Caenorhabditis elegans: one gene and its partners. The protein of the gene in region 1 interacts with the protein of each later gene in a pairwise test. Each region holds a gene or a part of one and is shown on either strand. Other genes may lie near its edges.

Region 1 (4,572 bases):
GTAACTTCACAAAATAAAAAAAATTTCGCGCATTTTGTGTGCAGTGTAGCGATGGGACAGCCTGACACCACGTGAATATGTTTTTACATTAAGTAAACTTCACCTACATATGTATCGAAATTTTGCCTGCAACTTTTTCGCAACAGTGAATGCTCAACGAGCCTGAAAAGAAAATATTATAAAGAAAAGAAAAAAAAAGAAAATAATTTTAAAAAAACTGAAAAGAAAATAATTTCTAGGTTCAACAAGGCATATTGGAAATTTTTTTTTTGTTTTGTTGGCAGAAGTTGTTTGAGTCATTTTTCAAAAATGACATATAATCAAATGAGTTTAAAAAATGAATATTCAAGATAACGGAAACACATTTGTAATTGACTTGACCTTCTCCCGCAAAAATGTTATAAATTATCAATGCTTCTATAACGTATCCAAAAAACTTCAATACTGTAGTAATCGGGCCACATGTCTGAAAGTTGATCGCTGAAAATTGAGCGTAAATAAACAATGGAAAAATATTGGAAACGATAACAATTGCAGACTCCAGAAAGGCTAATTGTGTTGCCTGAAAATATAAAAATGTGAATTTATAACGCCGTGATTTCCTTACTCTTGATAAACCAAAAGACCAGGTATGAGTTTGAGATTTCAAGAATAATTTGCAAATGAATAATCGCAGAAATAGAAGTGTTGATAATAAACTCTATACGAATTCGCAAACACATTTTGAAGCTATTTTTAACAATTCGATGCCGTCAGTGTTGTAAATTTTCCATGCCATTGGCCAAACTTGCCAATTAAACGAAACATTATATCAATCGCGAACTTACAATAAATAAGTGACAGCTCATGTCTGTAGGTAATTCGTTTCAAACAAAAAATCGCAAACAATAAGTATAAGTTTAAACATAAAGTTGCAAATCTGAAATTAATTAGCATTAGAATACTAGTTACAGCGAACGGCTGCATGTTATCGCAGAATAAAGAAGAATTGAATAATATTTCTACCCGCTTTCCGTGAGGAACAAAACGTGTTCTTGTTCTTTCTCTGCACCATAGAAATGAAACTTCAAATGGATATATCGGGTTCGCGGGTGTCGGTTTCAAAAAAAATTGTTTGCCAAAACTGAACTATTCAGCTGATAATCTAAATTTATTTTTTATTGAACACCTGGGTCATTGATTGTTCCATTTCAAAATGTTTTAACTCAAAATACCGACCCAAGCATTTTTTATGGAACGATTTAAAAACGATTTTGTTTGTTGATTTTTTGACTTTTCGATTTTCCAACTTCCAGCTCAACTTTTGGGAACCCTGTCCATTATCTCGATTCAAAACAACTTGTAATGCAACAATTAGTCAACCAGACGTACAACAAAGAAAATGTTCTAATAACCAAAAAATTAGTTCGGTCGTGACAGCCAATTTTTCAATGTTTTCGATTTCCAAAACCGACACCCTTGATCGGGTTAAGCCGCGATTGGTTTTGCCACGCTAAAGATTATATACAGTAGTGACCAGAAATGTATGCATTTTTTTTGTTCATTTTACACAGTTTTCAAATAAATGTAACTGACACAATTGAACTGTTGTTATGCTTGAATAGAAGTTGGTAAAAATAAACTCGTGAGGTGTCGGTTGCTGTGTTTCTTGGCTACAATAAACAATATTTTCACCATTTCGCCAACTACTTTTGTTTCAAGAGACCGAAAATAATGTAGAGTGAATCAGCTAAAGAAAAATGATAACGGTTTGTCAATACAGCAACACATTTTTATCAGTTGCTGTGCGCCTGTATACATAGTAAAACATACCCCATTTCTCTTTTCCTATTAGTGAAATTGATTTTAATTTTATATTTACTACTTTTCAGAATGAGCTACCCAGATAACCCTTCAGCGATTTCGCAGGTTTCTTCGTTGCAAAACAATTTGGTTAATCAGAATTATACACAAAAAGCATTGATACAGTAAGTTTTCAGATATAAGTTTTGATTTCTAGTTTGGAAAAAAAGTTATGTCAAATACCAATTTTCAGAAAGTACAATGAGGCAAATTTGAAAGTTGAAAACCAGAAGAAATCGATCACTCAGTTGCATGGAGCAATTCAAAAATTGAAAATGGAAAAGCAAAACTTGGAAACTCAATTATCAGAGAAAAACTCACCAAAAACACCGAATGTCACAGAAAACATGTGGAGCCTAGAATATGAAAGGTGGGTCATTTTTTTCGCAGTTCTAAACCAAATTTTTTTTTACAATTCAAAAACTATGAAAAGATGAAAAATGCCATATAAATGTAAGAACACATCTACAGTATTCTCTATTAGTCTTGCATGCAAGACTCATTTTCGATTGACTGTAGAGGTGCAAGACTATAGGAGACTGCAAGACAAATTTTCTAATGCCCCATAACTTTGGACAGATTGTAAATTTCCGTTCAAAAACATGACTTTGTTCCGTTCAAACCATGAAAAAAAATTCCAATATTTCATTTGCTATTTGAACACTTTTGAGTTCATTTTACCCAAAAAATCTCAAATTTGTTGTAGCTTCCTCATTCTATTACTGGCAAGGCAAAAATAGATGTGCAAGACTGTCAGAGACTGCAATACTAATAGAGGCTGCAAGACTAATAGAGGAAATAGAATACATATATGTATTGTTGAACAGCCAAAATATATTTTGAAAAATTGAAAAAAAATGTAATTGAAAATGTTTGTGTTCTTAAGAAAATGTTTGTGTATTTAAGAAAATTGTTGAAGTATAAGTTTAAAAAGTTCTATATGATTTTAAGCAGCTTTCCCTCTAACGCAACTTTACTTTGAATGGCAAAAGGCTTTATGTAGAGAAATACCAAATGACAATTTCGTCAAGTCATACAGTTTCATTGCAACCGCAGAGTAGAAAACATCATCGTTAAGTCTAAAAAAAGTTACGATTTTTTTAAACCTAATTGAAATGTGATGGAATATGTCAGCTTCAAAAAAATGCAAATAGTTCTAAAGGTATTTTGGCAATTGCCGATTGCTGAAAATTTTCATAACACATGTAATTTAGTGTAAAACTCTAGCAACAATTTTCTCAAACCTATGTATATATAATTTTCTTATAAAAACAACACATATTAATCAAAATCGCCAGTTGTCGCTTACTCCCGATGTGAAATTTTTTTTAGCAAACTCAGTGATGCTAAAACAAAAATTGAAAACCAAAAAAAGGAAATCAATAAATTAAATGAAAAGGTGACCCAATTGAAAGAGGAACAACAAAACTCAAATCAGTTATCAAAAAACAACGAATCAGATATGAGAAATGAAAATAGATTGGCGGAAGTCAGGAAAGTGCAGGAAAATGTGTGGCGACAAGAAGTGGAAAAGTGAGCATAACTTGTTTTGTGTTGATTTTTCAAAACCAATTCTTTTCAGATTGTCTGTAACAGGAGCTCAACAAGTTGTTACTATCTCAAATCTCTCTAACGAAAACAGACAGCTGAGAGAAGAAAATTCAACGTTGAAACTGCTTTATAACGAGAACACGGCGCAAGTGAACACCTTGGCAATGATAAGTGCTGCACTGTCGTCAAACGAAGAATCAGTTAATCGAAACCTGCAACCGACGCCGACGCATGTAGAAAATGAGCTGCAAGATACCGAATGTGCCATATGTAAGGAGGAGATGCGTTTTCCAAAATGCACAACGTGTCGCAAAAAGTTTCATGAAAGAGTAGGTGTCTTGCTTTTTCGGATTTTCCAACTAAAAATAGAAACTTCAGTGTCTTCAACAATGGACCTGCATCAATCCCACATGCCCAGCTTGTCGTACCACTATGACGCTCCAGACCTCATAACTTTCGTTTCATTTGCAAATAAAGTCTGTGTTTATGAACTTTGACTTTATTTATTCAATCCTCACGATTCTGAATTTAAATCTCACGTGGGAGCCGAAATCCATGTTTCAGGTCTTACGGTCTTACGTTAGGAACAGCTATTCTGCACTGATATTCACTCGGATTGTTTGATGGTCACTGCCTCTCTAAAATTGAAAGTTTTGAAAAACTACCAAAAAATAAAGGTGGCGTATACAACTTGTACAGCCAATTTTTTGATTTATTGACCTCATTTTTTTTAATTTTTGAGGTAATGTCATGAAAATTTAGGCTCATGGGTAATTAGGACTTGGAATTGAATGGCATCAGCAAAATTTTTTTTTAATACAGACGTGGCCACAGGCTCAAGGGGGTGGCGTGTAGAACTTGTACGCACAGTATGGTGCAACAGAGATACTTCTTCGGGAAAACTGGCAACACCACGGAGTCTGAGCACAGTTGCCAACCCCGAAATGCATATTGTATTGTTTATTGACTTGAATCAAGAAAAGAAAATGAAAAGTCAATAAATATATAATTTAGGCTGGCCCGCAAGAGCCGTACATATTTTTCTTTTTCTAATAGTTCCTAAAGTTTTGGGTGAATTCTTTTGAAAAATGAAAGACTGAATAAAAATTGTGCAGCGGGGCTTGTGAAAGATAGTTCGACTCGAAATGGTATCCATATCCCGTTTTTCAAATTGACTGG
Region 2 (4,706 bases), on another chromosome or scaffold:
GAGAAACCTCTTAGACACTTTACCAAGCGCGTTCTGCAACGATGCAATACTAAATTCTCCTCTTATGAAGATAGACTTAGCATAATGAAACTCTTCTCCACCAGACACACTAGAATTAAAGCTCAAATGAAACTACTCTATAGATTCCTCACTGGATCCTCCCACTTCCCTAGGCTTAATCAATTTGTCTCATTCGCTAGCTCTAATAGGCACCCTATGATTCTCGTTAGAAAGGACAGTTGCACCGCTCACTTTTTTGCCCAGTCAGTTCCCATTTGGAATAATCTTTTCAAAAACGTACCGGTTTTCCTCTCTCCTTTCCAATTTTCTCACTTTCTCGATCTTCACATTCCCCGGTATTGAAACTATGTGATCTCGAGTCCGTTTTCTTTTCTTTATAATTCTTTATTCTCTATTCTTCTTTTTTTTTCTGTTTTTTAATTCTTACCTCGCCCATTTCCCACACTCGAGATGAACTCTTGCTGGGTTTGTCTCGTTTTATAAATTTATTTTCTCATTAAACCTTAAATTGTACTACCTTTCAATGTATTACCTTTTGGCTCTTAATGTTGAAAATAAATCAAATCAAATCAAATCAAAGGAAAATTCCAAGCTTTATTCAAATTTTGCCAAATTTTCAAAAACCTTTAGTTCTCGTCCATTAACCAGAAAAAAAAATTTTACTGGAAAAAATATAAATAAGTAGAAATAAAAATGAAGTTTTGAAAAAAATCACGAAATTTTTTATCTCACTAATTACTCTAGAATTGGTCGAAAAGCTGATTAGAAATGGTTTTTTTTACTAATTAGACGTGGTTCCATGTTATTTGAGAATCTAATACAAAAATAAATCCAATAGTTACAAAAATTCTAACTACACTTCAGGCAAAAGGAAAACTTATGTGTGAAGGAAGGCCTGCATCGGGAGTGAAAGTCAAATTAATGGAATCTGACAGTATGTGAAAAGCTTCTGAAAATGAATTTTCTATTTACCTGTCTATTTTCAGATAGTTTCCTGCCGGGATTTCTTGACAGAGATGATAAGATGGCATCAGGAAAGGCTGACTCAAATGGAGAATTCAATTTGAGTGGATCTACCAAGGAAATCACCGGAATCGAGCCATATTTGGCTGTTTTCCATGATTGTAAGGACGGAATTACGGTGAGTTTAGAATTTTTTATTCTAATAAAAAAATTCCTATAGTAATTTTCAGCCGTGCCAAAGAGTCCTCCGCATCAATATTCCAAAATCTTACGCCAACTGGGGAAGTTCTGCAGAGAAAACATTTAATGCTGGAAATCTCGAACTTGCTGGAAAGTTTCCAGGAGAAACTAGAAGTTGTTTCAATTGATTGGTATATTATAAATGCTTTTTGAAAAAAAATTGAGAAGTAGTTATGAAAAATAATAAAATAACTATTTACAAATTTTCTATTAAACTGGAACGTATTTTATTCAGTCGAGTTGCCATTATTGCCATTAGAAAAATATATAGGATCCGAGAAAATAAAGAGAATTGGAAACTGAAAAAAAACACACCAGTGATTTCTGATCCGGAGGGTGGCATTTTGATAAAATCTGTACTTCAATATGCGTAAGGATTTTCAGAGAGGCAGGTACCTGGTGCATAGGTAGAAAGGCAGTTATGATGCAGCTACATCTGGCACGCACCCAAAAATATTTTAGTAGTTTTTACAGCCCTAAATGATACTTTAGCATATTCAATTCAATCAAATATGTATTTCACATTTTTCACTTTTACAATTTTCGAAAGGTACATTTAATTATATATATAACAAACACCAACCGAATTCTGAAAAGTCAATTTGAAATAATCAGCATATTAATTAATATAGCTACGAAGAATATATGTTGTTGATGCAGCACATCTTTGATTTTCCCGCATCTGAAAATAATCTATTAGAGGAACCTTCAAAAACACTGGATCCGCATTGGAATGATATCAGTTTTTGATCAAGACTTTCTGAGCAGAAGTAAGATGCGTTAAGAGTTGGAGTCAGAACTCACAGAGAATCAATCATGGAACAACTGTGGATTCTTCATAAGTTCGGCAAATGCCAATTCGAGTTCTTCAGCATTCAACTGAACATTGATATCCATTAATGGTTGTTGGCTTTGATTTTGCCTATTTGTCTCAGTTTCTTGGTTGGTTCTGTGATAAAAATTTTTATATATGGTTTAATGTTATATTCTTACCTTGACTGATGTCCACCTTCACCAACTGACATTGCCGAAGATCCAATTTGATGAATTACTTCACCATCTGCACTTCCATAAGAATTTCCGTTGGCGCCTATCAGACTGATCACATCGGGCACTGTAAACTTACAATTATTCAAAAATGTTCTGAGGTAGAATAAAACTTACATGAAAATTGTAATGGAGTATCTTGTATCCCTTTGAGTGGTTTGCAGACCGGGCAATCTTCCCTCGAGCAGTCTTTCCAGTGAGCTATTATTTGGCGAGACGATGCACAATGAGCGACTGAACATTTTTTTAGTTTGTGAGGTATCGGCGGAAACAGTGACTAGAGTGTGAAGCGAAATTTTTGGTGGAAATAGGCGCTTGTTCTTGCGAAAATGTTCGAAACTCTTTCCAGCTCGTAATAGACTTACAATGACATAAACGACCAACATTGCAGTTTGTCATGTGAATCAATACTTCCTTCATAGTTGAGCAATGGGGTAATGTACATGCAGCATGTGGAAGTAGTTGATTCCTGGCAGCAAACTCATTATTTTCCTGAAACAACTGGTGATGAATGAAGGAAATCAGAACATATTGCAAAACATACCTTCTCACGTTGAGAACATTTGTGTGCATGGAGTAAAAGAACAAATTGTTGCTGAATAAGCTTCCGCTTCACGGGATCTTGATGCAGTGCAAGCATGGTTATCCAAAAGTTGTTGCCGTCCAGAGATGATGTTACGGCTTTTTGTTCTAAACAGATGTTATCATACAGTTTCGGTCATCATTTTTTCTAAAAACAAGTTTGGTTGATAACTTTAATTGTGCTTATCTGTTCTTATTTTAAAAATTTCTTAAAACACGTAGAAAAAATTGTTTTTTGATAAAATATTTTAGTGATAGTCAAAAACTAACAATTTTATACGACAAAAAATTATAAGGTTGAAAATGCAAAAACCAGTGATTTCATAAACTGATATTTGCTTGATCCAAAAATGAACAAAGTTATACAAAACCTAAAGAAAAACTCCATACAAAAGGTGTTAAAATTGGGTAATTTCAGGCTTATGGTTTGCCTGAAAAATTTTCAAAACGGCAAAATCTGAATGAAATTGAATAAAAATCATTTAGAAGAGATCTAAATAGTTATCCATTTTAGATTGTAACAAATGAGAGAACTGACGAATATTGCATCACAATTTGGTTTTGAATATCATTCGTTGATTTGTACATTTTTAACTCATTTATAAAATATAGGAAAGAAAGGAAAAATTATACACAAAAAGCAATGTTTTGTAAGAAATGTATTACAAGTCGCTAAAAGTTTTGCTCTGAATCACTTGTTTTAAGAATGAGCAAAAGCGAAATGAAATGAAAGAGTGGATGTTATCAGTAAATAGCATGTGATACACTGCGATTGTGAAATCGGAAAGTAACCGAAATGATAATTATCGTTTTTGCTGGTGACGCCATTGATGTACTGTGTTACTATTTCAACATAGTGAAACACTATGTTGAGTGTGAAAATTTATAAAAACTCGGTGCGTATATGGACTATTAATTAAATGTTGCACTTTATTCTGCCAAATTTATTTACAGTACAAAGACGCAACATCACTTATGCATGCAGAGAATGAGAACAAAAGCAGCTCTTCAAAATTGCACTGGATTCTTGTAGACATCGCATGGAGCTCGAAGCATCAGTGGCTTTCTGGTGATGTGGCAGACACTATTAGATGCAAACGTCGTGTTGTAAACTGCCAGCAGAGCAATGAGAAAAACAACTGAAAAAGTGATCATTAGTATGAAAACCAGAAAACGTAACGAACGTCTTTTCACATAGATTGAACACAATATTCTCAAGTTTCTATTAAAGTATGTTTTATGACACATTTATCCAAATTCCTTTGAAAAAGTAAAAATATTTTATTATCAACAAATATAAAGCTATTTTTGCACGAATAAAAGTTAAGAGACACGATAAGTTATTTCATGAACTTGAAGTTTTTTGGCATTGATAACAACTTTTCAATTCGCTGTTTTCCCCGTGATTACATTTTTTCTCTATTTGTGATGGGCATTCTCGGTAATAATGTCCACGGAATCCACATTTGAAACATGCTTTAGGTTGTTCTTCAGGGCAATCACGAGACATATGACCAAGTTTGTGGCAGTTGTAGCATATACCTGTAAGAAACAAGTAACTTAATTATTATGCCATATAAAGTTTAAACTTTGTTCCAAATTGTGCATGCTTGAGGTTTCAGAACTGTCAGTGGGTTCTTGAAATTTACAGCAATTGTTATGGGGCATGACTGAAAATTCGGAATATTGATAGTGAGTCACAAATATTTACAGGTAAAGTAGCTCTAACTAAATAATACGGTAAAACTTTTCAAAATTAATTTTTAAAAATTTTGGCATTAATAAGTGACTGAACATTTTTGGCAGTTTGCCAAAACTTTTACTGTGAATTTTCACATTTCTGGAAAATGTAA
Region 3 (7,742 bases), on another chromosome or scaffold:
ATTTAACAGCTTTTTGGGGAAAATTTCCACTATTTTCTCAAGATTTGGATCTTCACAGTCCTGAAAAAAGTGCAAAATTATTAAAAATTTCCGAAAAACGACCGAAAAAAGCTGAAAAAATCTGGTTTGTTCTTGCTTTTCCCCGGAAAAATGCCATTTTTATAATTTTTCCCCGGTTTTACGAAAATTCGGAGAATTTTGCCGGGAAATCTGAAACGTCTGGGATAATAATGGTATTTTTAAATTTAAAATAATTTTATTTTCAAGTTTTAAATGAGAAAAAACAAAGACAATTCGCGCGGGAGTGTTTGCAGCTTTTGGGCGAATTTCTTATATATTTAAGCAAAATTTCAGCTTTTGGAGCGAATTTTCAGCATTTGAGCAAATTTTCAGCGTTTGAGCAAAATTTTCAGCTTTTTGAGCGAATTTTCAGCTTTTCGAGCAATTTTTACAACTTTTTGAGCCAATTTTCTACTTTTGAACCTTCTCAAGCTGTCTCCCCTACCTTAACAAACGTGTTAACCGCCATAATCGCGAGATCAGGCTGCGATTTCGCGTAATTCATCAAATACAGATAGACTAATTTCTTCAATTCAACATTATCCGTCTGCATACAATTCACCACATCGGGAAATAGAGCGCTGACGTCTTTTCCGACTGTCATACTGGCGATAACCTTCTTCACAGCCTCTTTTTTCTTCTCCTTTTTGTCAGAGTTGAGCTCATTTTTCAGTTCGAATATTTCTCCTGCAATAAAAATTGGAAATTTGAGTTAAATTCATTGAAAACGATATAAAAATACCTTTCTTTGTGGTGGTGAAATATTTGGAGTCGGTCATCTTGTGATACCCCTGAAAGATAAATGTGAAAAAGGGTAAAAATTCAAATTTTCGTAATAAAATCGAGGTTTCAAGGAAATTGGAGCCGCAGAAGTTGGCGGAGATGCAGAATTTTGGGCGGAAAAGAATGAAAAATCGATAAGTTGCCGTGTGCGCAAAGATTTCCGTCCCGCAAAACCTCCAAATATTGCCGAAAAGGGAGAGAGAAGGACAGAGAAAAAGGGATAAAAGTGGCCACGGAAAGTGCGCAAGCAAATCGGGGAAACGCGTCAGTGGGGAGCCTTTGCGCGTTTTTGGATTTATTTTATTTTTATTTTAATTTCTCGATTTTAAACGTTTTTTAATGTTTTTTTGAAAGAAATCGTTGATGAATCTGGTTTTTTGATACATTTTTCGCATAAAGTTGATAAAATATGAATTATTGTTATTAAAAATTTACTATTTTGACCAAAAATTATCCACAATTTGTTCGTTACACCAATTTTCATGTTTCTGGCTAATTTTTTCCGAAATATTGCATTTTCCAAGTTATTTTTGAATTCCCGCGCAAATTAAAGCAAAAGAAAAGTTAAAAAAAAAAACGAATTTCTGACCTTTTTTCACTTTTTATATAGTTTTTCGATTTTTTTTTTCCAGAAACATTCCAGTTTTCTGGAATATTTTTGAAATCCCTGTGGTCATCTTCAACTTTGCAGACTTATAATCTCTGAAACTACTGAAATTAGCCGAATATTGCGAAAAATGACTTGTTTCGAATCTAGTTTCAAACAAAAAATTTAAAAAAAGGCCTAAATCTGTACTTTTTTAGTCTTTAGAACTGAAAAAAAAAGTTTTTTTTTACCGCTGAAACCCCAAAAATTAGGCGAAATTGACTCAAAAATGTTTCAAAACAAACTTCAAACCAAAAAAAAGCTTACTTTTTCACTCAAATTCTAGGATTTTGCTGGAAAAATCCCACTTTTTTTTCAATATTTTCCCTCTTTCAATTAAATTAATTGAATTTTAAAAATCTCCCGGCTTAAAATTACAATTTCAGGCATGAACGAGCCATCGGCCTGCTCGGGGCCGCCCGTAAAGAGCAAAAGCTCGAAAAACGAGCCATTTTACACATTAAAAGCTCTACTTCCACGTGAGTTTCTTCAAAAATCTGCTCAAAACCCAATTTTTTATTCCAGCGTACAGCGAAATTCAGGGAAATCACGATCTTCTCATGTCGTACGAGCTCGGGCCTGTTGAGGGAGGATTCAGTGGTAGCAGACGAGTTAAGGAGAAAATCTCCTCGTTTTTGCCGCATATAATCGGCGAATTTCACTTGGACGCGACGAAAGAGGCGAGCTCACTGCGAGCTCTCATCGAAAAACCGCCGATTCACAAGGAAATTTCGAATTTGACGAGCTCTTCGATGCAGGGATTCAAGCTTTCTGCTGGGCCCGTCGATGAAAGGTGCAAATTCGACGATGTTCTAGATTTTTCTGATTTAAAATTGAAATTTCCCATTAATTTTGATGTTTTCCGCAAAATATTGCGGAATTTCGCTATTTTTAAACATTTCTCCCATTTTTGTAGAAATCGCTGCGAGACCCAACGGACGATAGGGACCATGCACCTTTAATTTTTGTAGATTTACTGGTGGCATTTTAAATAGTTTTAGGCCAATTTTTGCACAAAAACGGTGGAAATTCAACTGAATAAGCACAGCGCCACTCTTTCGAACATTTTAATTCAATTTCCGCAAATTTTTGAATTAATTCTGGCATTTTTGTAGTGATCGTTGCGAGACTCAACAATCAATAGAGACCATGCGCCTTTAATTTTGTAGATTTACGGAAATAATTTTTTAACAGTTTTAGCCCAATTTTTGAACGAAAACGGTGAAGTTTCGACAAAATAAGCTTATCGCCACTATTTCGAACGTTTTAATCAAATGTCCGAAATTTTTTAATTAATTCTCCTATTTTTGTAGAAATCGCTGCGAGACCCAACGGTTTTAATAGTTTTTGGTCCAATTTTTGCACGAAATCGATGAAAATTCCACAAAATAAGATTAAATATTCAATTTTACAGGTCAACACCAACATTTTAAACTTTTAAATAATTTTTCCGCTATTTTTCAGACAAATTCTTGCATTTTTGTAGTGATCGTTGTGAGACCCAACCAGCGCAAGAGACCATGCGCCTTTAATTTTGTAGATTTACGGGAGGCATTTTTAACTTCTTTTTGTCATTTTTTGCGCGAAATCGATAAAAATTCCACAAAATAAGATTAATTAATTAAAATTAAATTTTTCCAGATATCGCCACCTATTCGAGCGCCGAAAAGAGGAACCAAATCTGGCGTACAGCGAGAAATTGAATTTAATACGGGTTCGGCAACAATACGACGCATATGGATTTGATGATGATGAGACGGAGAAAGGATTTCCGAAGAAACACAAGAAAAAGAAGAAGGATAAGAAGAGAAAGAAGGAAAAAGAAGAATTAGGCGATGCGGAGAAAAGAAAAAGAGCCGCCGATGAGCCAATGGAGTTTTAGGGGGGATTTTGGGTGGGTTTAAGCTCAATTTTGAGGAAAAAAAATGAATAAAAAAGTCGTATTTATTAAAGGTGGTGTAGCGCCAGTGCCTCAATGACCGAATATCATGATAAAAAAATTCAAAAAAAATTTCTAAAATTTATATGATTTTTTTTAAATTGAAAAAATCTCAGTTTTTGCCAAATTCCGATTTGAATTTCCGTTTTATTATTTATTTATTGTTATTTTGCCTTATTTTTCACCGATTTTCCAAGTTTTCAGTGTATTTTTACATGGAATTTGAAGAAAAAGTCAAAATAAATTAAATTTTCGATTAAAAAGCATTTTTAATTCAATTTTCAGATGATTTTCGCGCGAAATTTAGGAAAAATAATTAGCAAATTATGAGAATTTCGAGTAAAATTTTAAGAAAAAAAACATAATTTTTTCAGTTGATTTTTTGAACGTAAAAGAGCTAGAAAATTTGGAAAAAATTATTGAGGATTCTTTAAAAAAATTATCGCCAAAAGTGATAAAATTGGAAAAAACCCAATTTTTTGAAGAAATCTTCTAGTTTTTGGTAAAAAAAAAAAATTTAAAAAACGCATTTATGCGATTTCGAACCTGAATTGATTAATTTCACGGATTTACGCTTTTAAAGTAGCTTTTAAACCAAAAATTTGCATCTGTTTTGACTTTTTCTTCGAATTTCTTGTAAAAATACACTGAAAACTTAGAAAATCGGTGAAAATTAAGAAAAAAAAATGAAATATTGGCGGAAATTCAAATAGGAAAGTCAAGTCAAAAACTGAGATTTTTTCAATTAAAAAAAATCATTAAAAAATTTGAAATAATTTTTTGAATTTTTTTACTATGATATTTGGTTATTGTTGTACCATAGGCATGTTTTAAAGCAATTTCCCATAAAATAAAATTATTAAATAACAGTCATTCTTGCGCGAATCGCCATTGCAATATCCTGTTTGCAGGAAGACATTAGAGCATTATGCAGTTGTCTTCGACGCCGTTGGCTCAGCTGACGCTCCAATGAGTGACGATGCTCTACCATACAGATGTGTGTTGTTAGAGCCACTGAAATTGGATTTAAAATTAAAAAAAAAATGGAAAAGAATAAAAATCTTTGGAAAAATTGATTTTCTGCGATTTCCCGCAATTTTTAGAGTGATATTCAAATTTAAATTCAATTTTCAGATGATTTTTGCGAAATTTAAGAAAATTAATTGGCTAATTATGTGAATTTCGAGAAATATTCGAGGTTTTTTTTCCTAAATTGTTGACAAAAAATCGAAAAAAATCAAGGTTTCATTTGATTTTCTCAGAAAAAATTAGAAAATAAATTTGAAACAAATTGAAGATTCTGAATTTGTCGCCATAACTGATCAAATTGAAAAAACGAATTTTCAGTTGAATTTTACAATTTTTGAGTGAAAATTATTAAAAAAATAATATTTCGAAGAAATCTTTCAGTTTTTTTTGTAGAAATTTTTGAATTTTTTAGTTGTTTCAATGAAAAAATTTTAAAATTTGGTTTCCGTACGAGAAAATCAAAAAAAAATTCAATTTCTGCATAGAAATTCAGTTTTTCAGGCAAAAATTGAACATTTCGGTTTTTAATTTTAAAAACATCGATTTTTTTTGAAATCTGGTGAAAATTGTGTAGTTTTCAAAATTTTAGGTACAAAAATTTCGATTCTGGCTCAAATTGTGCTTAAATTAGTAGGAAAAATCGGAAAAAATTCAGAAAATTACAGAAATTTAGCCTTAAAATCGTTCTAAAATTCAGTTTTTCTTAAAATTAAAAAAAAAATCTAATTTCTACATAGAAACTCAGTTTTTCAGAAAAAATCTGAAATTTTCAGTTGTTTGAAAAAAAATTTTTTTTCGAGTTTTCAGCTAAAAAATGGAAATTTTTTAAATTCTCGTAAAAATTGTGTAGTTTTCAAAATTTTAGGTAAAAAAAATTTCGATTCTGGCTCAAATTGTGCTTAAATTAGTAGGAAAAATCGGAAAAAATTCAGAAAATTACAGAAATTTAGCCTTAAAATCGTTCTAAAATTCAGTTTTTCTTAAAATTAAAAAAAAAATCTAATTTCTACATAGAAACTCAGTTTTTCAGAAAAAATCTGAAATTTTCAGTTGTTTGAAAAAAAATTTTTTTTCGAGTTTTCAGCTAAAAAATGGAAATTTTTTAAATTCTCGTAAAAATTGTGTAGTTTTCAAAATTTTAGGTAAAAAAAATTTCGATTCAAATTTTACACAATTTAACAGTAAAAATCAGAAAAATACACAAATTTATTCTAAAAATCGTTCTAAACTTCAATTTTTCATCGAAAAAATGTCAAAAAACCCACTCAAAAAGCATCCAAGAGTTTCACAAAATAGGCTCCAATCAGCTTCTGTATAATATAAAAATTGTTCTTCATTTTTTGGTTCTTGAGTATTTGTTGAATGAATAATGAACATTGTAATAATGACTGGAATAAATGAAGAAATTGTTGAAATCGACAGAGCTCGTATCACTTTTTTCGCATTTTTTGAGAAAAAATAGCCAAAAATTGCGTAGAATGGGGCTATCAAGGCGAGCAGCAGGGCGACAATGTCTGGAAATTTAGCAAATTTGAAAAAAAAATTAATTTTTTCAGTGGAAAATCAAAAAATGTTGGTATTTTATTGGCAAAACATTGAAAAAATGGGGTTTTTACGATTTTTTGACTTTTTTTCATGAAAAGTTGAATTTTTCCGAGTTTTCATCGACTTTTTTCAGAATTGCTCCGGAAAAATGTAGATTTTTACTGAAAAAAACGGAAAAATTTTTTTTTTACTAAAAGTCGAGAAAAATTATCAATTTTTAGTTCTTTTCCTTGAAAAAATCCAGAATTTTTTTTTCGAAAAAATACGTTCGATTCGTTCAAATTCGTTCAATTTCAAGTTCAAATTCGAAATCGTTGATTTTTTTCACAAAAAAACCAAACATTTTTCGAATTTTTATCTTAAAAAATCCTTTTTTATTCAATTATTAGATTGAAAATTAAAAAAGTAGTCATTTCTAAAATTTCTTTTTTTTGTCGAACATTTTCTGGAAAAAATCCAAAAAAATTTGAATATTTTTAGATAGGATTTTTTCTTTAAAAAATATCTGAACAATATTCAGAAATTTTTCTAAAAATCTGAAAAGAAAAATATTTTTTTTTGTAGGAAAAACAATAGAAATTGTGGATTTTTTATTTTCAAAAAATAATTTTAATCCGAAATTCTGAAAAAATTTCCAAAAATCAAGAAAAAAAGTTTTTTCAAATTACCATGAATTTTCAAACGAATGTTTGAGAAAAAGAAAAAATCTGAATATTCAGAATTTTTTTAATCCGAAAATTTTCCAGAAATTGTTCTAAACATCTGGGGAAAAATGGTTTATTAAATTTTTTTTTGTAGGAAAAAAAATGAAAAATGTGAAGATTTTTGCTAAAATTCAATTTTTTTCAGAATTCTCTCCTACTCAACTCACCCAACACAAAGCTCGTCTGTACCAGTTCTCCTCTCGATAAATATGTCTGAAATGTCAAAAACCAATGGCAATTAAATTCATTCAACAATGATCCACTTCGCGATAAATTTCGACGATATCCTTCTGAAAATTAACCTATAAATTAAATTATTTTTTCTTCATTTTTTTGTTATTTTTGTTTAATTAATATCAGTCAATATTACCTGATATATCATTACATTGACGAAAAAGATTAGCGTGTTGATGTACAAGTGTATATGATATATTACCACAATCCAGACGAGCAATCTGATTTGATAGGTGAAGCTGGCAGTTTGGAGGCGGTGTCTTGAAAATTTGAGAAATTTTTGAAGAAAAAATTATTCAAAAAAATTCATTAATTTTTTTAATTAAAAAAGAGTATTAGAAAAATCTATTAAACATTTTTTTTCAAAAATTCGAAAATTTTTTATTTTAATTTTTCTAGTTTTTTTGGAAAAAAATTCTAAAATATCAGAAAATATAAATAAATATTTTAAAAATGTTTTGGGATTTTCAAAATTTTGCAAAAAAAAAGTTTGGAACTTTTCAAAAAAAAAATTTTTTGAACATTTTGCGATCATAAAACAATTTGACAATTCTGAAAAATAAAGTGGTTTTATGGAATTTTCGAAAAATTCGAGTATTTTTTCTGTACATTTTTGCTATAAAATATCAGATCTAAAAAAAAATATCCGGCATTTTTCTTGAATTTTGCGATTTTTTAATTTTAGGCTTTTCCAAAAATTAAAATTGGAATTTTTTGAACTTTTTTGAGTTTTTCAAAAGAAAATCGGCTAATTTCTCGAAAATTCCTGAAAAAAATTTGAAATTTGTCAACCAGAAGCAAT

Evidence for each region.
Region 2: the proteins of F57C12.2 (region 1) and cbp-3 interact in a two-hybrid assay, tested with the Caenorhabditis elegans proteins (one large-scale study listed by BioGRID).
Region 3: the proteins of F57C12.2 (region 1) and mdt-19 interact in a two-hybrid assay, tested with the Caenorhabditis elegans proteins (one large-scale study listed by BioGRID).

Annotation. Positions count from the first base shown.
Region 1 is NC_003284.9:548,668-553,239, reverse strand, and holds F57C12.2 (RING-type domain-containing protein), read left to right. Parts: upstream 1-1,847; 5' UTR 1,848-1,872; coding exon 1,873-1,967; intron 1,968-2,035; coding exon 2,036-2,212; intron 2,213-3,174; coding exon 3,175-3,375; intron 3,376-3,424; coding exon 3,425-3,722; intron 3,723-3,771; coding exon 3,772-3,846; 3' UTR 3,847-3,885; downstream 3,886-4,572.
Region 2 is NC_003281.10:9,912,836-9,917,541, reverse strand, and holds cbp-3 (histone acetyltransferase), read right to left. Parts: upstream 3,002-4,706; 5' UTR 2,912-3,001; coding exon 2,816-2,911; intron 2,764-2,815; coding exon 2,637-2,763; intron 2,506-2,636; coding exon 2,389-2,505; intron 2,339-2,388; coding exon 2,218-2,338; intron 2,174-2,217; coding exon 2,035-2,173; 3' UTR 1,353-2,034; coding exon of another isoform or gene 1,215-1,352; 3' UTR 1,163-1,214; coding exon of another isoform or gene 1,008-1,162; 3' UTR 956-1,007; coding exon of another isoform or gene 885-955; 3' UTR 593-884; downstream 1-592. Other genes in the region: F40F12.9 (CCHC-type domain-containing protein), read right to left, coding at 3,862-3,992, 4,264-4,395, 4,443-4,521.
Region 3 is NC_003281.10:2,596,184-2,603,925, forward strand, and holds mdt-19 (Mediator of RNA polymerase II transcription subunit 19), read left to right. Parts: upstream 1-1,869; 5' UTR 1,870-1,877; coding exon 1,878-1,968; intron 1,969-2,014; coding exon 2,015-2,282; intron 2,283-2,874; exon of another isoform or gene 2,875-2,985; intron 2,986-3,130; coding exon 3,131-3,371; 3' UTR 3,372-3,383; intron 3,384-6,851; 3' UTR 6,852-7,029; downstream 7,030-7,742. Other genes in the region: apb-1 (AP complex subunit beta), read right to left, coding at 506-747, 803-839.